Linked DNA regions of Macaca mulatta. The protein of the gene in region 3 purifies or fractionates together with the protein of the main gene of each other region. This does not show direct contact. Links are inferred from orthologs where the notes say so. Each region holds a gene or a part of one and is shown on either strand. Other genes may lie near its edges.

Region 1 (3,500 bases), about 190 Mb from region 3:
CAGGTGCTTACAGTCTGGAAGAATTCATAATTTCTAAAGCCTAAATTAAATGTTCTCAATTAGGGCCTGAAGGTAACTTCCCTGCTTTTTAAAAGATGTTCAAATGATGTGTGGCCTCTAGCTAGGCATTTGTGTGTGTATACAAGTTTTCCACATATGGAAAGGCTGCTCAGCTTGCCCTGTGTCTCAAAGTGTCACTTGTAAACAAGGCAGAGGACAGGATACATCTGGATCTGGTCGCAGCACGCTGACTCACTGACTGTATAAAATCTGCTTTGGCTTGTGCTCCTGGGCGGGCTGCTTTCTACTCTTCTGTTGGGCACACTGTGGCTTTCTAGCATTTCTTTCCCTTGACCTTGGAACCATTCACAGAACTACACGAAAACTAACCAATTCCAGCCCTCTCCTATGTGTTTGGGGCCCTGCTGGGGTAGAGGGTTGGGAGGGGCTGATGACTGTGAGTGATTTTGGATATTCTTGTTCTACGTGCATCTTCTGAAGATCAGCCACAACACATAGAGGATTCCCAGGGTGAGGCTAGGAAAGGGTATGTAGTCAGTGTTTCAGATTCACAGTGGACCCACATTTCCATGTGGAGGAAATCAAACCCACCTCCCAGAGTCATGAAAGTCCATTATCTGTAGCCTGTTAATTCTCTGAGAATGGAGAAGGGGGCTTAAATGTAAAGGTGAGTTAAAAGATAATTACCTTGCAATTCTTCCACCAATATTTCCTCTTCAACTTGGCTGCACTCGTTTCAAATTGAGAAGCGCCTGCCTGCAGTGCATCTGCACGGTCGTCTAACTCAGAGAGCTTCTGGTCTCTTTCCAGAACCTTGTCCACATTAACTCGCATTATGTCCACCACCTAGATGAGTGTGATCACAACAAGTAATGCACAAAGAATGGAGGAATAGGGCCACGTGTGGTGGCTCACGCCTGTAATCCCAGCACTCTGGGAGGCCGAGACGGGTGGATCACCTGTGGTCAGGAGTTCGAGACCAACCTGGCCAACACGGCGAAACCCTGTCTCAGTACTAAGAGTATAAGAAAATTAGCCGGGCGTGGTGCTGGGTGCTTGTAATCCCAACTATTCAGGAGGCTGAGGCAGGAGACTCACTTGAACCCAGAGGGCGGAGGTTGCAGTGGGTGAGATTGCGCCATTGCACTTCGACCTGGGCGACAGAGTGAGACTCCGTCCCAAAAAAAATAGAGGCACAGAGACTTCAAAGACAATCTATGGGCACATTGTTCTTTCAGGTCAGCACTTTATTACTTTGAGCCAAACTTTCGCTTTAAAAAAAATGAGCTCACTCTTTCATCATCAAAACAATCAGCATATTAAGGATAGAAGGGAATTTCTTTAATATGATAAAGGGCATTTATGGGAAAATCCACAACTAATATCATGCTCAATGGTGAAAGACTTCCCCCCTAAGATCAGGAACGAGACAACGATGCTCACTTTCACACTGCCACTCAATACTGTACTGGAAGCTCTGAACAGAACAATTAGTCAAGAGAAAGAAAAGGCATCCAAATTGGAAAAAAAGAATAAACCTATCTGTATTTGCAGATGATTCTCTTTATATAAAAAATACCAAAGAATCCACAACAAACTGCTAGAGCTAACAAATACAGCAAAGTTGCAGGGTACAACAACACATAGCAATCAGTTGTGTTTCTATACACCAGCAACAAATAATCTGAGGTGGAAATTAAGGAAACAATTGTGTTTACAATAGCATCCAACAGAATAAAATACCTAGGAATAAATTTAACCAAAAGGCGAATGACTTGGACAATGAAAACTAGAAAACATTTATGGCCAATTGATTTTTGACAAGAGTGCGAAGGCCATCCAACAGTTTTTTCAATAAACAGTGCCGGGCCAACTGAAGAGCCAACATGCAAAAGAATGAAGTTGAATCCCTACCTCACCCTATATACAAAAAGTAACTCAAAAGGGATCAATAATCTAAGTGTAAGAGCTAAAGCCATAAAACTCTTAGAAGAAAACATAAGGGTAAATCTTCATTACTTTGGATTTGACTGTGGATTCTTAGATTTGATACTGAAATCAAGAACAACAAAAGGAAAAACAGATACACTGGACTTCATAAAAATTAAAAACTTTTGTGCATCAAAGAACATTATCAGGCCAGGTGCGGTGGCTCATGCCTATATTCCCAGCACTTTGGGAGCCCCAAGCAGGTGGATCACCTGAAGTCAGGAGTTCGAGACCAGCCTGACCAACATGGTGAACCACTGTCTCTACTAAAAATACAAAAAATTAGCTGGGCAAGGCGGTGGGTGCCTGTAATTCCAGCTACTCTGGGGGCTGAGGCAGGAGAATCACTTGAACCCGGGGCTTGGAGGCTGCACTGAGCTGAGACTGCACCACTGCACTCCAGCCTGGGTGACAGAGCAAGACTCTTGTCTCAAAAAAAAAAAAAGATAAAAATTAAAAAAGAACATTTTGAAGAACGTAAAAGACAAGCCACAGAATGGGAGAAAGTATTTGCAAATCACATGTCTACTAAAGAAAGATTTAATATCTAGAACACATAAAAAACTCTCACAACTCAAAAACAACCCAATTAAAAAATGGGCAAAGCCTGAACAGACATTTCTTTAAAGACATATAAATGGCCAATAAGCACATGAAAAGATGCTTACCATCACTAATCATTAGAGAAAGGCAAATGAAAACCCAAAGAGCTCAGTAGGATGGTTATAATCAAAATGGAAAACAAGTGTTGGCAAGGATGTGGAGAAACAGGAACTCTTGGACATTGCTGGTGGGAAAATAAAATGGTGTGGCTATTGTAGAAAACAATTTGGCAGTTCCTCGTAAAATTAAACATACAGTTACTATGACCTAGCAATGCTACTCCTAGGTATATATTCAAGATCAATGAAAGCATATGTCTAAACAAAATCTTTCCTGTGAATGTTTATAACAGCATTATTCATAATTGCTGAAAGATGTAAACAACTCAAAGACTCATTAACAAATGAATGGCTCAACACATTGTGTATACACATACAATGGAATATTACTCAACCATAAAAAGGAACATGGTACAACGCGTTACAACTTAAATGAATGCGAAAAACTTTGTGCTAAGTGAAAGAAGGCAGATGCCAAAGGCCACATACTGTATGATTCCTTTTATATGACATATCCAGAACAGGCAAATCCACAGAAAGAGAGAGCTGATTAGAGGTAACAAGGAAATGGGAGGAAGGGGAAATAGTGAATGATTACTAAATGGGTATGAAGTGTTCTAGGGTGATGAAAAAGTTTTGAAAATGGAAAGAGGTAACAGTTGCAAAATATTACGAATATACTAAATAACACTCAATTATATACACTTTAAAATGTTTAGTTGTATGTTATGGTAATTTCACCTCAATAAAAAACAACCCTCCTTAAAATTCCTTTGGTTAAAAAAAATTCCAATTTGATTTTGTAAGTCAACAGAAATTTCAGGCAGG
Region 2 (4,022 bases), on a different chromosome or scaffold from region 3:
ATCTAATTCGGTTTCCGAATTCTTCACAGAATAGAAATTGGCTGAGAGAGGCTGAGTGATTAGACCAAGGTCACAAACGGGTGAACCAGAATAGAAGGCAAGTCAATGAACTCCCTTTATGAAATTCTAAAGTCTTGAATTAAGCCAAGTGTGAATCAGACATGGTCTATGCCATTTGCCTGCAGTCTCCCCTCTATCCCGCCACCCAAACATCAAGAGAACAGTCAATCTGGCCCAAAAGTAAAGGAGCGAGAGTGAAAGCAAAGAGAGCACGCCAGGAAAGGAAGAGAGACAGCGAGAGTGTGTGTGATGTGTGTGAAATTATGACCAGAAGAATACAGGAGAAGAACCTGAATTAGAAGATTCCAGGGAAGAAAGAAGAGGAAGTGCCTCCTGGAGCGAGGGAAACGGAAGGCAGGACGGCGAACTCGGGGGAGATTTGTGAAAGGGCATCTCTGCCTGGACAGGATCCGAAGATCTGGAAGAAGATCTGAGCTACATAGATAATACAGACTACCACAGAGCAGACGCTGTTGACTTGTGCCTCAGTTTCCCGCCCGAGTCATCGAGCACAGGGCTTAGAAATAAATCCTCACCCAAGGAAAAAATATCCTAGTAAGCCAGGTCGGTCTCAACATTCAGGAGGGCCGGCTCCTACTCTGGGGGGGCAAAGACCACCAAAATCCTGCTTATATTCCCTGCCTTGACTCCCACCTCAGTGTGGTCCCTGGTGTCCGCTCTTCAGCCATCGCATATCCGGGGCGGCCTGGGCTCACCCGGAACAGATTTCTTCCTCCTTGGATAACTCCGTCATGGGCACCTCAGTCCAGGACAAGCAGAGAGCAAACCCTGGCCGCGAAAGGTTGGAGTGCGGGACCTGCTACAAGCCAAATGCCTCTCGACCAGCGCCCTCGTCGCGACTCTCCCGCTCAGGACCCCTGCGCAGTCTCCGTTACAGTCACTTCCGGGGGTTCGCCGCCTCAAACTTCCCTCCGGAAGCAAGTTCCTGTGACCTGTAGCTTGGGGATCCGGAGCCGATTCCCAGAACACGAAGGGGAAAAAAAACTCTCCTAATGATCCCTCAGAACCTGCATATTTTCATACGCTTTTTTGGGGGGCCACTAATTGGGGCGCTTTTCCTTAGCGAACTTAATTATCTTAAAGACGGAGCGGAAAATAAAGCACGCACGCAACCCAATTTCCGGAGAACCGAGATCGCGACGAACAACCAGGAAGCGACTGGGTTGAGAGCTGTTCCCGGTTCTCCGTTCTGCTCTCGGGGGCACCTCCCGGGGTTCCTAAGCCGCGGCGCCCCTCGCTGCCCCTCGAGGCCGTTTCCCTGACCTAGGCTTTGGCCTGGGCCACTCGTTCCGGAGCCGTCATGTCGTCCGACTTCGAAGGTTACGAGCAGGACTTCGCGGTGCTCACTGCAGAGATCACTAGCAAGATTGCGAGGGTCCCACGACTCCCGCCTGGTGAGAGCTCTGCCCGACTGGGCGAGGGTGCTGGGGAGCGCGGGGAGGGTGCGGGCGGTGGAACGCCGCCCGAACAAGTGTGTCTGTGAGGCGCGAGGCTGGAGTGGGTGGTGCTGGCTGTTTCCCGGAGGGGTAGGGCTTGCCTTGGTTGAGGGTAAAGAGTCAAGTTCGGGTGTGGGGTGCAGTGAAAAGAGCCTTCGGAATCTGAGCCATCTGAGTTCGAATCCCGACTTCACTCCCTTGGAACTTGTATAACCTGGAAACGTTTCTTAACGTCTTAAGAGTCTTAATGTTTTCGTTTGTTAATTAGAGATGTGAGTATTAAAAGAAAATGAATGAAAGTACGTAGTTGATGGATCTACAATCTACAGCGGCGTTGTTGTGTTAGTAATAATATTGTTATAATTATATGTGGCAAAATAGAGGTAGGAATCAGGGTGCCTAGATTCAAATCCCACCTCTGTCACTTAAAAGTTGTGCCTCTTAACTGGGGAGGCAGAGGTTGCAGTGAGCCGAGATCTCGCCATTGCACTCCAGCCTGGGCAACAAGAGTGAAACTCCGTCTCAAATAAATAAATAAAATAAAATAATAAAATAAAAGTTGTGCCTCTTAAGCAGACTGCTTAGTCTCTTTCAACTTTTCTTCTTAGTAAATGGGGGGAAATTGTACTTCTGTCATGGGGTTGTTAGGTAGATTAAATTTAAAAAACATATTTAAAGCCCCTTTGGTGTTGTTAGTTGCTGTATTAGCATTAGTATTTTTCATATCTCCCCATCCCCATTTCTTGTTTCTCATCCTTCTTGGGGATTTATTATATAACGCAGTTTTATGTCAAAGTTGGTACAAGATAGTTTTTCACACTTAAAAAATTTCACATCTCCCATCTGGAAGTGTTTTTGTTTTGGGGTTTGCTTTTGTGTTTTAGCACATCTGATTTTCTATGCTAGACTGTCACCTTTGTGAAGGTGGGAGCTGGGTCTGATTTGCTTGGTGCTTACTTATTAGGGGCTCAGAAAAATAAGTGAATGAGCAGGTGAATATAAATATGATCTTTTGTAACTTTGGTTTGGAAAATGTTGTTTCGGGGATTATCTTTCTCTACAGATTTGAGTAGTTAATCACAGAAAAGGATTTTACATTTTTGTTTAGTTTTGTTAGGGAAACTGAACCATCATCTGGCTGCTAGGCTTGTCCTTACCCTAGCTCCAGGATGTAAAGTGTAGAAAGGGGGATGCGCTCATTAATCTTCGGATTGGTGGGCACTTCACTTGCCCAGTTGTCCTGGTACTAGCAGTAATTTCTCCCGGACCTAAGTTGTCATTCCTCTTTCCCTTTCCCTACTTCCCCCAAAACTTACATGTTTATAAGTAATTTTTTCCCCTTATTTCTTTGTTTTTCTTCCCCTCACCTATTTTCTGTTAATACGGATATTTGCTTGAAGCCAGGATCTCTGAACTTACAACCCACTCATCTCCTGAAGTCCCCAGTTAGTTCTGGAGGAGATGGATGATGTCTTAAAGAGGTTTATGAGTCCAAGTAAGGGAACAAGAGGAGAGAACCAAGGTAGTATATACCACCAAGCTCTGCTGCCTCAGAGATTTTTGTGTCGAAAGTGGCTGATGGCCTCACCTCTTCATGATACATCACCTCGCCTCTTCTCTTCAGTTCTGCTTTTCTCCACTGCCAGAGATCATCTTGATTTTTGTTATTGTTGGAGACCACTTCCTTTGAATTGAGTCCCAGAGCCTCAGAGTATCAGGACTTGTGGTTCCAGTTAGAGTTTTACTCATTTTTAATTGTAATTGTTTTAGCAGTAGAAACATTTCTTTGGGTTATTAGCTTTTGTATTGGGAAGCTGTTTTACAAGGTAACAAAATCATCCTCGCATGCAAAGTTGTAAAAACTATTTCCAAGAAAACAGATCGTGTCACAATTTTTTTCTTACCTTTATATTTTAATGTAACAATTCTTAACACATAGAAGGAAACTGTTTGAATTCAGTACCTTAAAAATAAAACTGTGGGTGGGGCGCGGGTGGCTCATGCCTATAATCCCAAAACTTTGGGAGGCCGAGGCGGGCAGATCACTTGAGGTCGGGAGTTCGAGACCAGCCTGACCAACATGGAGAAACCCTGTCTCTACTAAAAATACAAAACTAGCCCGGTGTGTTGGCGCGTGCCTGTAATTCCAGCTGCTCAGGAGGCTGAAGCAGGAGGATCGCTTGAACCCGGGAGGCAGAGGTTGCGATGAGCCGAGATTGCATCATTGCACTCCAGCCTGAGTGACAAGAGCGAAACTCCATCTCAACAAATAAATAAATTAAAAAAAAACTGTGCCTCTCCTTAGCTGTAGTATTATGTAAGGCCCAAACACAGGAGCTACGTTACAATTGAAAGGAGACTGCATTGCTGGCTCTGGAAAAATGCTTACTGACTTGTATTATTGAATAATCATAATTCTTTTATTTTTTTTTTCTTTATGAGACAGGGTCTTGCTCTGTCGCCCAGGCTGGAGTGTAATGGTGCAATCTCAGCTCATTGCAACCT
Region 3 (3,979 bases):
AAATTACCCAGGAAATACAAAAATTAGCAGGGAAATACAAAAATTAGCCAGGTGAGGTGGCACCCACCTGTAGTCCCAGCTACTCAGGAGGCTGAGGCGCAAGAATCGCTTGAACCTGGGAGGCAGAGGTTGCAGTGAGCCGAGATTGCACCACTGCACTCCAGTCTGAGCAACAGAACGAGACTCTTGTCTCAAAAAAAAAAAAAGAAAGAAAAAAAAGAGTATTTAATGAATTTTAAATACAGATAAATTATTTCTGATGAAAATTTAATGTCCAAATTTAAATGTGCAGTAAGTGTAAAATATGTATTAGATTTAGAAGACTTAGTGCAAAAGTAAAATATCTCATCAATCTTTGTATTAATCACACGTCGAATATTTTGAATGTACTAGAGATTACATTAGAATTAATTTCACCTGTTCCTTTTTATTTTACTGTGGCTACTAGAAAATGTAAAATGACGTACGTGGCTGGCATTATACTTCTATTGGACAGCACTGATCCAATAGATCCCAGGACAGCTGAAAGAGGAAATGAGACCAGAAGCAGGAAGAACAATTAAAAGACTCTTTGATAAGCATCCAGATAAGAGAGACAGGCTTGATTATCTAAATTCTGCCCATCTTCAAAACGTAATTCAAGATATACTTATTGCCTCCAAAAGCTTTCCTAATCCTAACAATTCCCAAGGAGATGCCTTTCTCTGAACTCCTGGGGCACTCATCATCTGCAGCATTCACTTCAACACTCATTCATTTGCCACCTGTCATTTCTACTTAATTTTGGGGTAATTTGTTTCTCAGATTAGACTAGAAGCTCCTAGGCCATAATTTAGGCATCTTTAATTTTTCCATGCTGTGTAATGCATTCTTGATACTTTTAATAAACACAGGTGCATGACTCCCAAAAAATCTGGATACACCTTCATGGGTGACTTTACCTTTCCACAGTAGAAGGTACTGAGAATCTCTTTTCCTTCAAGAACCTTAAAGACAGGAGCTAAAATGATGTAAAAGTCAATCAAAACTCCGAACCAATGTTCCAATAAAGTAGTGATATTTAATCAGTGAACAAGCATTAGACGACTGTATTGGATACCGTCAAGAAAAAAAAAATGCCACAACGGCAGAAGAATTTAGGCTTTTGACAAATTCCATAAAAAGTCAAACAAAAAATTTCTGATCATCTCTGATCTCCACTGCCAGAGATAACCTTTGCCAACCTAAGCATTAAGAACTTTCAATCAAGGAAAAAACACATTTTTAAAATTAACCCCTAATCAATTCTTCTAATAAATATCACATTTTCCAGGTAGGGAGTCACATATTACCAGTAAATCTACAACTCAGCATTTTCCCATCTAAATTAGAGTAAGGTGAAGAAAAAGACCTTTCCAGGGAAATGTTAAGAAATATTATAAGTGTATTTTACTGCATCATCGATAAAATCTTTCACCTAAAATGCCATTTAAATTTTCTACAATACTTGAGTATACAACAGCCAGCTTGTACCACTACAAAAATAGGAAGCTAGCAGCAACTCGTTAAAAGCAAGGGACATTCTGTGATCAGTACTGATTTGGGAACTTTGCAGTTTTCAGATTTTTCATGTTTGACATTTAAAACAGAAAACTGACACGTTTCTAATAAGAAACTAAAAGTTACATCAGAATTAATCTTCTTGCATTTGTTTAATGGCTACAAAGTGGATATTACAAAGTGCAGTTGAAGTTTCTATCTCCAAAGAAACAATCGAGCAAGATGGAGTTAGGACAGCTTACAAGGGAACAGAAGGCAGTTCTATTCTGAAAGGCAGAAGAAATAGGAGAAACCTGTCAAACAGCCTGGATGATATCAAGGAGTTAACAAGCAACACTCATTTCCTTTAGCACTGTGAGAAAATTCCGGTTGCTAATAGAAAGCTGAGGAAAGTTTGGTTTGGCTTGTTTCATTTTGTTTTCCTTCCAAATCATCACTGAGTATGAACGACTGCTTTCCTCTCCTCACATTACTCAGTAAAAACTCCCCCCATTGAATTGTCTTCCTGTGCCCTGCTCCCCAGCCTCCCAGATCGGCCCCCGCCCCCGCCTCCCTCCCAGCAAACGTGCTCAGACGCCTCTGGGCTTGTTGTGGTCTCGCCAGTCCTGCGGACGAGCGCTCCAAACTCAATGGACAATGGAGTTCACCCCCGTCAACACGAACTACAAAGCTCAGGAGGGCCATTTCCCTTTTCCTGCCCAGATGCTGTTTTCGCTCCTTCGAAGCAAGGTCCCATGCTCGAATAGACGGCCAGTGTGAGCTAGGACCTGCGTGTCTCCTTCTCACCTGCAGAGCTGCTGAGCCCCTCGACCCCCAAATAAGTTGTACCGCAGCGCACAGGCCAAAAAGGCCCCACCACCACCAGGGGCTTGGCTGGGGACAGTGGCTTCACCGTCCAGGTAGGGATGCAGGAGACGTCTCTGGACGCTTGGTCATGGCCCTCAAGACTAAGCCGTCTCCACTGTGACCCCTCCCCAGCTCCAACTTGCCTCCCCTCCCCCTACTGCGAGAAGACCGAGGAGGTGCGGGCAGGCAGCACCGCCACCTCTTCCTCCAGTGGAGCCCTCGGCCGACACTCACCCTTTCACCACAAAGAAGGGGTCCTCCATGGACATGGCGTCCCGGCCCCGGCCGCCTCCACCTCCACCGCGCACAGAGCGCCCGTGCCTCCCGGCCTCCTTCCGCCCACCCGGCCTGTTCCCGCAGCCGCCCGCGCCTTAGACTGGGGGACGCCAAGCAGCGGGCACGCGCGCAGGCCAGGTGCACGGGACCACCGCTGGTCCAGCACTCGCTCAGCACCACTGGCCGAATCCCGGACTCCAGAGCCGGCCCCCTCTGCAGCCTCCAGTCCCGGCTCCCCCCGGCGAGTCAGAGAGCCTGACCCCACCCCCAGGACCCTCGGCTGCGGCCAATCACGAAAGCCGCCTGAAGCACGACTTCCGTACCCCACTCACGTGATCAGGGCCTGCCCCTCCCCCAGTGGGCGGGGCCTGGGCCTGCGTCCCTCCGCCCTGGAGGCGGAGCCCTCGGGGCGGAGGAGGTGGGTGGCTTTCTACCGCCCTCTCCTCAGGCTTGAAGGTGAAGAGCGGCTTGTTCCCTCAGAGGTAGGCAGTCGGCTTTTCAGGATAAACTGTAGTTGTACCTGTTTTGCAAAATCCTCTTACCTTTCCTCTACTTTTAATACTTGATTTTGACAGTATGTAATTTATAAATCTATCTGGTCCTCGACTTAAAATGAAGCATAGTATCTGATTATGATGCTACACAGCTCCTTCAAGTAGGGTCTTACTTTGTGTTGGAGAGTGTGCTAAAAAGTTGTGTATGCATCATCTCAGTATTCTTTGGGGGAAGGTATTATTCCCCTCCTTCCCCTTTTTGGGGGGCAGGGACTCTCTCTGTCACCCAGGCTGGAGTGCAGTGGCACAATCACAGCTCACTGCACCCTCGACCTCCTGGGCTCAAGCGGTCCTCTCGCCTCAGCCTCCCGAGTAGCTGGGACTACAGGTGAGAGCCACCACGCCCGGCTGATTTTTAAATTTTTTGTAGAGATAGAGCTCTCAGTATATTGCCTAGGCTGGCCTCGAACACCTGAGCTCACAAGACCCTCCTGCCTCTGCCTCCCAAAGTGGTGGGATTACGGACGTGAGCCCCTACGCCATCCATTTCTCCCATTTTGTAGATGAGAAAATAAGTTCAGAGAGGCTTCACGACTTCCTGTAGTCACACAGCCTGGACAGAGCAGAACTGCAGATTCTGTGCACTTTCCACCAGATGGGGTGTACTTTATGTTGCTGTACATTCTGCAAATAACCATGTAAAGTAATTTTTCATACAGCATATGGTGCCTCCCAGGAGAGCGCACCTACAAGGAATAAAGAAGGGGCCAGGTATGACAACTTCCTCTCACTGTGGTTCAAGGACTATTCTAGAAAACATTTTG
Region 4 (3,500 bases), on a different chromosome or scaffold from region 3:
TTATGAAACCATAGGTTTCTGGGATGCACTTACAGTTTCTGATTTAGTAGGTCTGGAGTGGAGTGTGAGAATTAGCATGTTCCCACGTCTAACAGCTTCCCAGGTGATGCTGGGAATTACGCTTTGAGAAACGCTGTTTTAGAGTTGTTTCGTTCTTTTCTTACATGGCTTTAAGACACTGTGCTCTCTTTGATGAGTCTTCCAGTTTTTATTATAGAATGTTTCCCAAGAATGGTAACCTATATTCCTTTGGATCTTATACTTGCTAAGCGTCATTTTGGTTATACTTTTATGAAAATTAAATCCAGATTTACTCCATTTAAATTCAGAAAAATCTATGGAATTAACTCTCTTCTTGTAATAGCATAACTAATGATGCCAGAGAAGATGAAATGGAAGAGAACCTGACTCAAGTGGGTAGTATCCTGGGAAATCTAAAAGACATGGCCCTGAACATAGGCAATGAGATTGATGCTCAAAATCCGCAAATAAAACGAATCACAGACAAGGTAAAAGCTTTTTATTGCCACAAGAAAATGAGACACCCAGTTCAGTGTTTCCGTAATAGACATCTGTGCTAGATGCTGTGGGGGACATGGTAGAAGAAGCTCCTGGACTCATAGGTCTTAGTTCTGATGAGGTGGTGGTTTTTTTTGTTTGTTTGTTTGTTTGTTTTTGAGATGGAGTCTCACTCTGTTGCCAGGCTGGAGTGCAGTGGCACAATCTCAGCTCACTGCAACCTCCGTCTCCCGGGTTCAAGCAATTCTGCTGCCTCCGCCTCCCGAGTCCCTGGGACTACAGGCACACGCTACCACGCCCAGCTAATTTTTGTATTTTTAGTAAAGACGGGGTTTCATCATGTTGGCCAGGATGGTCTCAATCTGTTGACCTCATGATCTGCCTGCCTCTGCCTCCCAAAGTGCTGGGATTACAGGCGTGAGCCAACACGCCTGGCGAGGTGGTGGTTCTAACACATAAAACAAGAGCCAAGTCCTCCCCCTCATGGCAGTTGGTGCCTTTTGAAACCAGAGTTTTGGAATGTAGTAGTTTTACTTAAACCTTCACACATGAAGCTTAGTATCTACTTTAGCCTTTGAGTGTGTTTTTTTCTCTCCCAAATGAGTAAGTTTTATTTTGTTAACTAATTTTTTAATTGAGAATGAGGTCTTGCTCTGTCACCTAGGGTAGTGCAGTGGTACAATCACAGCCCACTGCAGCCTACCTCCCAGGCTAAAGCTAAAGCTTTCCTCCCACATCAGCCTATTTTGTTAACTAAAAATAAATTAAGTTCCTGAATCCTTATCTCATGAAAGAAAATCCGTTCTGCAGAATAGTTCGTATAGAGTGGTCACACGAAATAGAGTCATGTGAGTGAAAGAAAGTTGTGGTTCTTTTTTCTTTCCCCCTTAACTTTACATGATACCGTGAAAGTGAAATTGTTTTTGGTGTTTCGATGTGTCACATGTAAAAGTCATACCTTGACCAGCTGTAGTAGCTTCACACCTGTAATCTCAACACTTTGAGAGGCCAAGGCAGGAGGATTGCTTGAGCTCAGGAGTTTAAGACCAGAGCAAGACCTAGACTGTACTAAAAACATTTAAAAATTGACTAGGCATGGTGGCATGTGCCTATTGTCCCAGTTACTCTGGAGGCTGAGGAGAAGGATTGCTTGAGTGTAGGAGTTGAAGGCTGCAGTGAGCTGTGATTGCACCATTGCATTCCAGCCTGGGCAACAGAGTGAGACCCTGTCTCAAAAAGAAAGAAAAAAAAGTCATACCTCACTGAAATCTCAGTGAACTTTAAAGTTTAGGGTGAGTTTTTAAGCTTGGCTCTCTGTTAAATCACTTTTGATGGATTTAATTGAAACAGTGGTTCACAAGATGCTTTAAATGCTGCAGTCTGGGTTTAGGCTACATTTACCTGTCATTTTAATTCAGATGTTGGTGTGGATGGTTATAGATTCGTTCCAAAGATCTTTGGAAAGGTTATTTCAGTCTCTCCAGGTTAGACTTAGGGTGTCTGAATCCAGATGAGATTCTGTGATTCAGTTCAGAGGACTCACACAAGGTCCAATCTTTAACACAGAAGAGCACTCTTTCATATTTCATCACATCAAAAAATGCCATTGATTACAGGATGCATCCCAGTTTTAGGCGTGTTAAACCATGAAAAAATGTGTTATAGAATTGATGAAATATTGACAAGGTCTTATATGTTACACCTTTGTCATGTTTATATACCAGGGTTTTTCCAAATGAATTTCATGTTCTGTTACTTCTTGCCCAACATGAGTTTTGTAATGTAACCTCACGTGGTTTCTTGGATTTTCTCACTGTGTCAGTTACTCCAAATGTAAAATGTTTAATTTTTATTAGAGTTACTTACCTTGTAAAATAAAGCTGATATCTTTCTTGTTTTTCAGGCTGACACCAACAAAGATCGTATTGATATTGCCAATGCCAGAGCAAAGAAACTCATTGACAGCTAAAGCTACTGCTGTTCTTCTTTATCATTTATTCACTTCCGTAGCTCCTCCTTGAAAGTTATTACCTTTTCAGAGTTTAAATTTTCGGTTCCACGCTCTTCTAATTGGGAGATAATATGGAAGAAGGGCCAGAGCAGTCACAGCCCTCCTTCTCTTTTGTTTTCTATTGAGGGCCAACCGCTGCTCGGCCTTCCTTCTAGTATTTTCTTTTTCAATTCATACTCTTAGATTGGTTTTCATATGTGATGTATAATGTTTTCATCCTCCTCATATACTTTAGCAGGTTCTTTTGCTTTCAAGTTTTGGAAGCATTGCCAAAGACAGCCATGAAGAAGGAAGCTGTAGAGGTGTTCTTTGTTGTTGTTGTTTATTTTTGCTTTTGTGGTAGAGGGAGGGACAAGAGATAAGAGGTTGTTACCTCAGTAAAAACCTTCAGGCCACAAAACAAAAAGTTGCATAGCCACAGCGAAGATATAGTTAAATATAGTTTTTGATTTAAGTTGCGGTTATAGCCAATTTAGGCTAATGCTTGATTTTGGAGCTTTTATACACAAAATTTTTGTTAAGCATCACAGTTTTGCAACCTCTGCTCCAAAGAGAAAAATAGAATGAGTTTTCTTTCTTTCTTTTTTTTTTTTTTTCCTGAGTCAGAGTCTTGCTCTGTCACCCAGGCTGGAGTGCAGTGGCGCGATCTGGGCTCACTGCAACCTCAGCCTGCTCGATTCAAGTGATTCTCCTGCCTCAGCCTCCTGAGTAGCTGGGATTACAGGCGCATGCCACCATGCTCAGCTAATTTTTGTATTTTTAGTAGAGACAGGGTTTCACCACGTCAGGCTGGGCTTGAACTCCTGACCTCGTGATCCACCCACCTTGACCTCCCAAAGTACTGGGATTACAGGTGTGAGCCACCGTGCCTGGCCAAGTTTTCTTAAAGTGAGCTTAATTTCTGAACTCTTAGTGATTCATATATGTACATAAATCTGTGATCCCATTTCTTATTGCACCATTCAGGAAC
Region 5 (3,500 bases), on a different chromosome or scaffold from region 3:
TCTTTCAGCTACAGATTATTCTGTCTTCAGCAGCCTGCAAAGCTAGCTGGAACTGGACTGTTAGAAAAACGTGTAGATGCTGGAGAAAATCTCTTTAATCCTAATGTGTAGCTCTGCCTTATTCCAGAAAAGACCACAGTATGGACATGAAGATGATAAACTTGAGGTAATGGAAGAAGCAGAAACACCAGATATGTTAGCAGCTCTTTTTTCTTTTGAAAACTAGCCCTTGCAAGATTTGCTTGACATACTGACTGACACAGTCCAGAAAACATTTTTCTTTTTAGTTAAAAAAGGCTGATGGTTTTTTCAGACATGTCTTGTGAACTGGCGAAAAATGTAAATGTTGAAAGCTGTAAAATTCAGCAGTTCTAAGTTTATTTCCAGCAAGAGTTAAAGTTTAATAGTAAATTCAACCAGTGTTTTAGCTTTTTGCGTATACATTATGTTTTTAAATTTCACCCATTAAACAAGGACTTAGGTTACACATTGATTCCTTAAGGACTTTAAGGAAGCCACAACCATTTATTTATAGTTGCATTTTGCTTTTCTGATTACAGTTGCATTTTACTCTTCAGCGATTAAAGCTTTTTTTTTTTTTTTTTTAACTTTGTTTTTAGGCATCAAGAGAGAATATATCTAAAAAACACTTGCGGCCGGGCGCGGTGACTCACGCCTGTAATCCCAGCACTTTGGGAGGCCGAGGCGGGCAGATCACAAGGTCAGGAGATCGAGACCATCCTAGCCAACACAGTGAAACCCCATGTCTACTAAAAAGAAATACAAAAAATTAGCTGGGCGTGTTGGCGGGCACCTGTAGTCCCAGCTATTCGAGAGGCTGAGGCAGGAGAATGGTGTGAACCCAGGAGGCGGAGCTTTCAGTGAGCCGAGGTTGCGCCACTGCACTCCAACCTAGGCGACAGAGCAACACTCGGTCTCAAAAAAAAAAAAAAAAGTATTTGCATAGTTAGTGTAATTGCTAAGCCACAGGGTGATGCGTGGATAACAGATTCAGAGGAAGGCAGCTGAGGGCAGAGGCTGCCTGAGAGCAGGAAAAAGAAGCTTGAGAGCCTTCTGGCTGGAAAGGCAGCTCAACAGATGGGCCGCAGCCGTAGATCAGTTCTGAAGCAGGGACTGAAGCAAGTTTGTCATAAATAAAGGAAAGTGGTAGTGTTCCTGTTGTGGTGGATGTATATCCACAACCAGAACCTTTAGCTCTGGAGGGACCATCAGGCTGCCACTGTGGCCAGAGAGCATCACTCACGTCTCCACTGGACAGATTTGCAGAGACTCATCTGTGAACAGAGCAAGTCCCTGCCTCCTGGAGCTCATATGCTGTGAAGAAAAGAGAGGCTGGGTGCAGTGGCTCATACCTGTAATCCCAGCACTTTGGGAGGCCGAGGCAGGTGAATCACCTGATGTCAGGAGTTCGAGACCACCGGGCCAACATGGTAAAACCCTGTCTCTACCAAAAATACAAAAAACTAGCTATGCGTGGTGGCAGGCGCCTGGAATCCCAACTACTCTGGAGACTGAGGCAGGAGAATCACCTGAACACAGGAGGCAGAGGTTGCAGTGAGCTAATATCATGCCACTGCACTCCAGCCTGGATGACAGAGCAAGACTCCATCTCAAAATAAAACAGAAAAGGATGTGGAGAAGAGGGTTGGTGGTTGGAAGGAGTTCTCCTTTAGGGAAGATGTCTGGGAAGGCCTCTCTCAGAGAGTGGCCTTTGAGAGGAGACCCTAATTGGATGAGGGATGAGAGGCTGAGCCATATAAGTATCCGGATGGAAAACATTACAGGCAGAGACAGTGGTGTGTGCAAAGGCCCTGGGACAGGGTCACACATGTTAACAGGTTTTAAAGCTGGAATTGCGGATGAACTAGAGTCAGACATTAATAGGACCAGAAGGGACACTGGTCCCTGAAATAGAATTCGAGGATTTGACCATGGCCAGGAGGCTCAGGTGGCCCACTGGGACCTCCTAAAGTGGGAACTTCATAAAGGAAGAATATAAGAACCAAAGTCCAGGGGGCAGTGCCAGGCCCCAGTCTGTGAGGGTTCCCAGAATTGGTGGGCTAGAGAGAATCTGCTTCCAGTTCAGGCCCTGGACTCTGAACCTCACAGGCACATTGCCATCCATCTTACCCGCTGCCCCCAGCATCGAGATGGGGTCTTGCTCTGTTGCCCAGGCTGGAGTGCCGTGGTACAATCTCAGCTCACTGCAACCTCCGCCTCCCAGGTTGAAGTGATTCTCCTGCCTCAGCCTCCCGAGTGGCTGGGATTACAGGCACCCACCACCACAGCTGGCTACTTTTTGTATTTTTAGTAGACAGGGGTTTCACCATGTTGGCCAGGCTGGTCTTGAACTCCTGACCTCGTGATCTGCCCACCTCGGCCTCCCAAAGTGCTGGGATTATGGGCGTGAGCCACTGCGCCAGGCCTCTGCTATCCATCTTAACATGGTGCCGTGAACCAGCCTCTCAGGAAAAGGGTCTCATGAACAAATGAGGAAAGCAAGCAGAGGTAGGGCAGGGAGGGAGAGGCAAAGGAACGTGTTGTTGGAAAGGGTAGTGTGCCCCTCACAGATGATAGTACCCGTCTCCAGATGTGCCCACTGAGAGTTTATGAAGTGGCTGCTCCATGTGGTCCTTGACTGGCCTAGGGGAGAGTCACAGAAAGCTATAATACCACCGCCTCTTGGTTTCCCCAGGAGCTTGTCCGTCAGCGAGGAGTCCTGGAGCGCACAGAGAAGATGGTGGACAAGATGGACCAAGATTTGAAGATCAGCCAGAAACACATCAATAGCATTAAGAGCGTGTTTGGGGGGCTCGTCAATTACTTCAAATCCAAACCAGCAGAGGCCCCACCTGAACAGAATGGCACCCTCGCCTCCCAGCCCAACAGCAGGTGAGTGTGTCTTCTACCATCTGGGTATAAAGGAGCAGAAGTGGGGATTAGTGCAAATGACCAATGCTTTCAGTCCACGTCAGTGTCATGAAGGGATCCAGCAACCCTTTAAGTTACTCATCAGGATATTTGTCCTCAAACATTGTGAAGCCAGAAACTGTTCTTCCGTGTTCCCATGTTCACTTGATTGACATGTAATCTGTCAACTGCTTCTCCGATAGTTGTGACCCCACTACTTTGAAAGAGAGGGTGTTCGCCTCAGCGTAATCAGTACAAATGTGACTCACTTCACATAATTTTTCCTTTAAAAAGTCTTTAGGGCTGGGTGCAGTGGCTCACATCTGTAATCCCGAAACTTTGGGATGCCAAGGTGAGTGGATTGCTTAAGTCCAGAAGTTCAAGACCAGCCCGGGCAACATAGTGGTACCCCAGTCTTTACAAAAATTACCCAAGCATTGTGGTGCACACCTGTAGTCGCAGCTCCTCAGGAGGCTGAGGTAAGAGGATCGCATGAGGCCTGGAGGTCAAGGCTGCAGTGAGCTGTAATGGTGCTGCTGCACTCCAACCTGAGCTACAGAGGGAGGTCC
Region 6 (3,196 bases), on a different chromosome or scaffold from region 3:
TCTAGATGAATCTGGGTCTCCTGTCATGAGTCTAAGAAAAAATGGTGCAACTTTTGTTTCAGGTGCTTGGTTCAGGTGGTTATTACTAACTATCTAGACTGGTTTTCATTTTCTATTCATATTTATACTAACTTGCTAAATATACTTTATTCTCGTAGGCCCACAGGAGATACGAAGTTATCTAGAAAACAATCATTAAAAACATCTTTAATTCCTGAAGATGAATTTTTATTGTAAGAAACACACGTAACTTTTAAAATATGTTTCAGAGCAGGAGTCTGTTTCCCAAGAGGGAACTCCCTGCCCTCCAGGAGTAACTTTCAAATGCTCAGTGCAGCTGTGGGTAGATGTGCAATCGGACCCCCCTCCAACCACGGAGTTTTTTCCTTTTTTTTTTTTTTTAAGATTTCTTCTATCTCAGAAAAACACTGAACAGAAGTTTCAAATGTATCAAAGGTAAGAGGTCAGACTACAAAGGACTAAGAAAAAGTGTGAACAGCTAACAAAAGAAACATTTTTCCTCTTTGGGAATAGAATTACATATGAATCAATTGTCAAGTTCTTAAAAAAAAAAAAAAGAGGAACTGGCTGAAGCATAGTTGTAGTTGGTACTTGCAGTTCTTTGCCCATTAAATATATTTAATATATGTGAGCAACAACTTACTGACTTGCCTGTAGCTATGGAATTAAAAGTCAGGAGAAAGGGAGGAAAAAAGTAATCTAGATAAATGACTTTATTCCCTCAGGTGACATCCAGTCAGAGCAGATCCTCAGCTCTGTGCAAGTTTTAACAGAATCGCGTGTAGTGAACAGAGAGGTAACATGACTTATATTCTGCAAAACTACATGCCTCTTCACTTAGGCTCAGCCTCTCTAAGGCAGATCTAAAGAGAATTCACTCAGCTGCACGAAATCCATTTGACATGAAGGGGTTCAAACTCAGAGGCCTATGAAATGTCAGTCGCTGCAGATTAGGCCTGAGTGCCCCACTCTCACTCTCTACCCCACATGCATAAGAAGCATTAACTCGATCACTGACCTGCAGGCATCAAAGGAAGGGAAAGGGATGAGGGTTGGGGAAAAAAATCCACATAGTTTCTTCTATGCAATTATTGAAAAAAAAAATTAAACTGAAACTTAAAAAAAAAAAAAAGAGCTGACAATCTGACAGATTTATCTTTTTTTCAAGGAAAGAGCCAATACACCTGTATTTGCACCTTTACCAAGAATAAGTCTAAACAAAGTGGTTAGTCTGTAACTTTAATTTATGGCTCATAGTGGAAAATAAATTAATTGACTTAAAAATAGTCCATCTGAAAGCTTAGATTAAATTAGATTTCTGAAAGCCACAAAAATTTTATTTTCAGATAAATTTACCAGAAAAGATTAAAAAGCATTCACTTCATGTTTCCAATGTGTTATTGGTCCAAGAGCCTATTTCAGATGTAACTGAAACAGAAACTTCACCTCTGCCACTCACTGCCCATACTAGCAGAATGGCAGGACCATCAGTAAGTAACACATGATGCCTAGAATACAATCACTCTGTCCACCTAGGACCAGAATGAATTTATAGTTATTCATCCAACAAAAGTTTACTGGCCGGGTGCAGTGGCTCACGCCTGTGATCCCAGCACTTTGGGAAGCCGAGGTGGGCAGATCACCTGAGGTCAGGAGATCAAGACCAGCTTGGCCAACATGGTGAAACCCCATCTCTACTAAAAATACAAAAAATTAGCCGGGCGTGATGGATGGGCGCCTGTAATCCCTGCTACTCAGGAGGCTGAGGCAGGAGAATCCCTTGAACCTGGGAGGTGGAAGTTGCAGTGAGCCGAGATCATGCCACTGCACTCAAGCCTGGGCAACAGAATGAGACTGTCTCAAAAGAAAAAAAAAAAAGAAGTTACTGAGGGCCAGGCATGGTGGTGCATGCCTGTAATCCCAGCACTCTGGGAGGCTGAGGCAGATAGATCACTTGAGCTCAGGAGTTCAAGACCAGCATGGGCAACATAGTGAACCACGTCTCTACAAAAAATACAAAAATTAGTTGAGTACGGTAGCACATGCTGGTAGTCCCAGCTTGGGAGGCTGAGATAGGAGGATCGCTTGAGCCTGGGAGGTCAAAACTGCAGTAAGCCGTGATCATGGCACTGCATTCCAGCCTGGGAGACAGAGCGAGACACTGTCTTAGAAGAATAATAATAATAATAATAATAATAATAATAGTAATAAAAGTTTACTAAGCACCCTCCTATGTGTTAGCTCTGTTCCAGGGACTTTGGACTCAACAGTAAGAGCCAAGGTCTCTGAATTCATAGGGCTTGATAGGGAGATATTTATCAGCTAACTAGTATGTCAGATAAGGACAAGAAGACACAGGATGGGAATATGGAAGGGTGGAGTTCTAAAAAGAGGAAAGGTAAGTTGCCAGGAGATATGAGAAAGTCCCAAAGAAGTTTCATCTGTCTTTGCGCAGGCAGCAGCCTGGGGCTTAGTTTTCTTCATGATTCTGGATGCTTCAACTCTACAGTAGTTTGCATGAAATTTCTAGGAGCCCAGCCAGGGACAAATATACAGATCCCAGGTCTAGACTGCACCACTTAATTAACTTGTCCCTTAAAACAGTCTCCCAGACACCATTTGGTATATGTGCGGTCGCCTACTGACTTGAGGTGCAACACCATCCCTTCTCCATCAATAACCTGGCGAAGTGATCTTGGATAATTCACTGACAGCCTGTGGCACACACAGTATCCTCATCTCCAAAATGAGGGGGCAGCAGAACAATTGCTCTTTGAAGTCTTTTCTAGTTCTAAGATCTAGTGGCTCCCTAAATTAAAACTAACTTTATAATCTTTCCTTCCATTTTTGAATTTTAAGAAGTTGAAAAGTATTGGTAAGTGGTCAATCTCAGAAGCAGGCTACCAAATTAAGTTTGGAAATAATATAAGAAAATCAAAACTTTAATTAAAACCCTTGGCAAAGGAAATACTGAACCCTCTTGGTGTGTCCTGAAGCTTTGTTCTGTCTGAGTCATGTGGAGAAGGAAGTCCCTTACCTGTAGGGACATCTCGATCAACATGAGTAACTTCTTGATTCCTATCCAGACCTTCTTCCCTTTGACTTGCTGAGAAATTGTGGTGCGTTCCTTATCCTTGAAGTTGCCCAAAAGCTACAAAAACAATAAACAATAATC
Region 7 (3,995 bases), on a different chromosome or scaffold from region 3:
GATCAATTACCTCTGTGGTGGTCCCTGAAGGGAAATGCAGAATTGCTGAACTCTGGAAGGGAAGGAGGGGTTTGGTGAGCCCTCATTACAGACACTGTGCTAGTGGCAGTGCACTGCACACGCTATCTTTTTTTTTTTTTTTGAGACAGAGTCTTGCTCTTGTTGCCCAGGCTGGAGTGCAATGGCATAGTCTTAGCTCACTGCAATCTCTGTCTCCCAGGTTCAAGCGATTCTCCCGCCTCAGCCTCCTGAGTAGCTGGGATTACAGGCACCTGCCACCATGCCTGGCTAATTATTTTGTATTTTTAGTAGAGACGGGGTTTTGCCATGTTGGCCAGGCTGGTCTCGAACTCCTGACCTCAAGTGATCTGCCTGCCTTGGCCTCCCAAAGTACTGGGATTACAGGCGTGAGCTACCATGCCCAGCCTCTTTTTGCTTCTTACCAGCACTGTCTGAGCTAAGCATCAGCACCTGCAAACTCCACAGAGGTGAAAAGGTTCACTCAGGGGCCTGTAACTAGTAACCCAGAGCTTTCTGAATCAGAGCCCAGGATCACAGTATTCCAGACTTCAGGGGTTTTAGTGCTTTCTGTCACTGAGGGACCTGAGAACAAGTGTTATCCAGCAAGAAATTTTCATAACTGCATTTTGTTTCCCTGTGAGCCAGGCCTGGCATGGTTGATCTCTGTCTCTAGAAACTGGAGTCAGATATTCAAGACATTAAAAGGAGATGGCTGGTGGGGCGTCATGGCTCCTAGGACTTTGGGAGGTTGAGGTGGAAGGATTGTCTGAGCCCAGGAGTTTGAGACCAGCCTGGGCAACATGGTGAGACCTCATCTCTATTTAAAAAAAAAAAAAAAAGAGAGAGAGAGAGATGGCTGCCCTTTTTAGATCAGGAGGTCCAGCCTCAGGAAACCTTGGAGGGCTGCTTGATCTTTCTTTTCTAATTCCTGAAAAGTTAGAAGACCTTTAACATCTGAGAGCCCTATTACTCTAAGCTTAAGCTCTTGTTTGGGAAGCCACTGGGTGGACAGTGAAGAGTGCCCGCCTACCTGGGGAAACCTGAGTTAGGTGTGGCTGGAGCGACTCGAGATGCGAGGTGGGCGGGGGCAGGCTGAAAGCTGGAGCAAGCAGGAAGTGAGCTGACGGCCACCCTGGGAGGAAGCCGACTAGGCGAATTCACCTGCTGATCGGCCTGGGCTGCTCTGAGACATGGTGAGCGAACTGGAAACTAGGAAAGGGCTGATTTAAAGAGGAGCCAGAAGGGGCTCGGGACTGGGGGTTGGCTGTGTGGGGGGAGGAGAGTTGGCGGCAAAGTTAGAGGGCTGGGCCAGTGCTGCCTGTGGCCTCTCCTCTTTGACAACTTGGCTGCAAATAGCTCTGAACCGTCCTAGCAGGTGTTTCTATTCCTTCTTCCTCCCTCCCCTGACCTCTGTGCTGGTGGGGAGCTGGGCTTCCGTGCCAGTGCCAATGGGGGCTCCGAATTCCAGGCAAAGTGTTGTTGTGCCTTCCTCCTCCAGGGAGCCCGAGGCGGGTGTTGTGACACCACCAGGCAGTGCCTGGGCAGTTTCCAGTTCAGATTCCAGCCCAGCGGCAGGAGCTCTCCTCTCTGGCCTTTCACTTTATCCCTACACAGAAACACAAAGGATTTGTGTGTCCACTGAGTCCTTTGGGTGTCCTTTCTCCATTAACATGAAGAAGAGAACTAAGGGTTTATAAGATAACCAGAAGTTGGTTCTCTGTGATAAGCTAGTTCTGACCCATGCCACTGGCCTGTTTTTGGAGGTCAAGGAGGGAGGAGCTTAATAATATTTTTCTCTCCTTGTTCAAAAACCTTGTCATGAAGCCTCTGAGATGAGACATCAGCCAGGGAGGACTAGTCCTCCATTTCCCCCAACACCCAGGCGGGTATTTTTATTTAATGTCTGCATAAGCAGGTGGTTGCTTGGTGCCTGCGCGTGGTGCCCAGTGGTAGGGAAAGCAGAAGTGTGTGGCTCAACGGCTGTGGGCGCCTTCTGGGGTACTTGGTTGCCTGTTGTTCTGGGTCACAGCAGCAATGGCATTGCGGCCAGGGCCATGCTCCAGCAGGTATTTAGAGGGGCAGATGGGTGAGGCTGGGTGAGGGTGTTTTGCTGGCCAGCACAGACACTTTCAATGAGGATCCCGAGAAATCAGGAAAGGGGGGTGGCTCCGGGAATTGTAAATAGTGGTGGGCTCTGCCCTGGAAAGGGAACATTGTGAGATGCTGGCTCTGCTGTATTCTACGGCCTTCTCTAGGGAGCAAGGAAGCAGCGGGGAGGGATTTAGTGATGCGCTGCTTTTCCTTGTCAGGGGTCCTAACAATCCCGAAAGAAGTTTGATCTAGTCTCTTTAGCATCACGTCTTACCTTCTGAGGCTTACAAATGCATTTATTTTTGATTACACAAGTAATACATGAAAACATTCTCTTTGTAAACATTTCAAGCATTTTACAAAAAGCTGAAGTCTGCCTGAGGCCTTACCCTCCCCAGGCCTCTGAGGCCAAGTCTCCAGTTCCCCCACCACTTGGTCTAATTAACCCCGTGTTGCTGTGCAGGAGGAAGCCAGTGAAGGTGGAGGAAATGATCGCGTGCGGAACCTGCAGAGTGAGGTGGAGGGAGTTAAGAATATTATGACCCAGAATGTGGAGCGGATCCTGGCCCGAGGGGAAAACTTGGAACATCTCCGCAACAAGACAGAGGATCTGGAAGCCACAGTGAGACAGGGAGCCCACTGGAGGCTGGAGGAAAAGAGGAAGGGAGGGAATTTCTTTTTGGTGGGGCAAAATGAACAGGAGGGTCAGAAGTGTAACATTTCTGTTGCCTTTCACCTGGTTTGGGAGCTGATGTGAGCTGAGTCTCCACTTCTGAATCTGCTCTGCTCCACAGATTGTTATGGATCCCAGGGAATGGATCCCATGACTGGGGCTTGAGGTGGCAGCTCACCCATAGAGGCATATTCTGAGACTGATAGCTCAGTCAGCCCATGCATTCTCAGGCTTCTCTCCCGGGAAACTTGTTTTCCCTTTGAAGCCTGCCCATGACAATCATTTGGATCTGACCTTCCCAGGGCAGAAGTATTGGCTTTGAGGAAACCCCCCCACCGTGGCCTCTAGCCTTCTCTAGGAGCTATTAGACAAGGGGTGGGAAATTGCTGGCATCTTGCTGAGTTGGCTTTAAAAAGAAGGAGGAAAGAGCAGAGAAATGCTTTGATCCCAGGGTCCCCTGCTAGATGAAGGCTAAAATAATATCTCCCACACATCTTGCTAGACTTCATTCTTCTCTCTCTCCAGCCAGGGGCTGCGGCCAGCTGTTTCAGGGAGGAAGTAACTCCAAAGTTGAGCAAAGTCTGGAGCCTCAGGTTTTGTGTCCAGCTGGGAAGCTGGCTCTGGCTTTCTTAGTCCTGTGTGAACTCTTGGCTCTTGGGTATTGCTCCCTTGTCTCCCTGGGGCTCATTGCCTGTTTCTGTAGCTTAATTGTAGCTTAATTTGGGGAGCATGGCCCCGGGAATTTTTTTTTTTTTTTTAATAGAGCCTCACTCTGTTGCCCAGGCTAGAGTGGTGCAATCTCGGCTCACTTCAACCTTCGCCTCCTGGGTTCAAATGATTCTCTTGCCTCAGCCTCCTGAGTAGCTGGGATTACAGTGTGCACCACCACACCTGGCTAATTTTTGTATTTTCAGTAGAGACGAAGTTTTGCCATGTTGGCCAGGCTGGTCTCGAACTCCTGACCTCAGGTGATCCACCCACCTTGGCCTCTCAAAGTGCTGGGATTACAGACTTGAGTCACCATGCCTGGACAAGCACTAGGAAATTTAGTGTCTATAACTCGAATTGCTGGGCATGGGGAAGAGTGCATGGAGGAGGAGGAGTTCCCTTACTTCCAACCCTCTGTACTGTCCTGGTCCCTCCTCCAGCCTCAGCAGTCCCGATGGGGCAAGGAGTCCTGTAGCTGGGAGATGTGCCCACCTGGAGCCTG

Evidence for each region.
Region 1: the proteins of STX6 (region 3) and VAMP3 purify together in Homo sapiens (affinity purification with mass spectrometry; 5 studies listed by BioGRID and IntAct, counting the BioPlex papers as one, with this or other methods). This does not show direct contact. The link is inferred for Macaca mulatta from reciprocal best matches to the Homo sapiens genes STX6 and VAMP3.
Region 2: the proteins of STX6 (region 3) and VTI1A purify together in Homo sapiens (affinity purification with mass spectrometry; 3 studies listed by BioGRID and IntAct, counting the BioPlex papers as one, with this or other methods). This does not show direct contact. The link is inferred for Macaca mulatta from reciprocal best matches to the Homo sapiens genes STX6 and VTI1A.
Region 4: the proteins of STX6 (region 3) and SNAP23 purify together in Homo sapiens (affinity purification with mass spectrometry; 3 studies listed by BioGRID and IntAct, with this or other methods). This does not show direct contact. The link is inferred for Macaca mulatta from reciprocal best matches to the Homo sapiens genes STX6 and SNAP23.
Region 5: the proteins of STX6 (region 3) and SNAP29 purify together in Homo sapiens (co-immunoprecipitation; 3 studies listed by BioGRID and IntAct, counting the BioPlex papers as one, with this or other methods). This does not show direct contact. The link is inferred for Macaca mulatta from reciprocal best matches to the Homo sapiens genes STX6 and SNAP29.
Region 6: the proteins of STX6 (region 3) and NSF purify together in Homo sapiens (affinity purification with mass spectrometry; 3 studies listed by BioGRID and IntAct, with this or other methods). This does not show direct contact. The link is inferred for Macaca mulatta from reciprocal best matches to the Homo sapiens genes STX6 and NSF.
Region 7: the proteins of STX6 (region 3) and VAMP8 purify together in Homo sapiens (affinity purification with mass spectrometry; 3 studies listed by BioGRID and IntAct, counting the BioPlex papers as one, with this or other methods). This does not show direct contact. The link is inferred for Macaca mulatta from reciprocal best matches to the Homo sapiens genes STX6 and VAMP8.

The regions. Positions count from the first base shown.
Region 1 is NC_133406.1:233,015,685-233,019,184, forward strand, and holds part of VAMP3 (vesicle-associated membrane protein 3), read right to left. Parts: intron 868-3,500; coding exon 709-867; intron 1-708. UniProt on the Homo sapiens protein: SNARE involved in vesicular transport from the late endosomes to the trans-Golgi network.
Region 2 is NC_133414.1:124,588,283-124,592,304, forward strand, and holds the start of VTI1A (vesicle transport through interaction with t-SNAREs homolog 1A), read left to right. Parts: upstream 1-1,222; 5' UTR 1,223-1,381; coding exon 1,382-1,475; intron 1,476-4,022. UniProt on the Homo sapiens protein: V-SNARE that mediates vesicle transport pathways through interactions with t-SNAREs on the target membrane. These interactions are proposed to mediate aspects of the specificity of vesicle trafficking and to promote fusion of the lipid bilayers.
Region 3 is NC_133406.1:38,431,628-38,435,606, forward strand, and holds the start of STX6 (syntaxin-6), read right to left. Parts: upstream 2,801-3,979; 5' UTR 2,655-2,800; coding exon 2,620-2,654; intron 1-2,619. UniProt on the Homo sapiens protein: SNARE promoting movement of transport vesicles to target membranes. Targets endosomes to the trans-Golgi network, and may therefore function in retrograde trafficking.
Region 4 is NC_133412.1:19,935,759-19,939,258, forward strand, and holds the end of SNAP23 (synaptosomal-associated protein 23), read left to right. Parts: intron 1-364; coding exon 365-509; intron 510-2,422; coding exon 2,423-2,488; 3' UTR 2,489-3,163; downstream 3,164-3,500. UniProt on the Homo sapiens protein: Essential component of the high affinity receptor for the general membrane fusion machinery and an important regulator of transport vesicle docking and fusion.
Region 5 is NC_133415.1:31,700,218-31,703,717, forward strand, and holds part of SNAP29 (synaptosomal-associated protein 29), read left to right. Parts: intron 1-2,716; coding exon 2,717-2,913; intron 2,914-3,500. UniProt on the Homo sapiens protein: SNAREs, soluble N-ethylmaleimide-sensitive factor-attachment protein receptors, are essential proteins for fusion of cellular membranes.
Region 6 is NC_133421.1:70,345,682-70,348,877, forward strand, and holds part of NSF (vesicle-fusing ATPase), read right to left. Parts: intron 3,173-3,196; coding exon 3,059-3,172; intron 1-3,058.
Region 7 is NC_133418.1:38,814,537-38,818,531, reverse strand, and holds the start of VAMP8 (vesicle-associated membrane protein 8), read left to right. Parts: upstream 1-1,195; 5' UTR 1,196-1,211; coding exon 1,212-1,214; intron 1,215-2,575; coding exon 2,576-2,734; intron 2,735-3,995. UniProt on the Homo sapiens protein: SNAREs, soluble N-ethylmaleimide-sensitive factor-attachment protein receptors, are essential proteins for fusion of cellular membranes.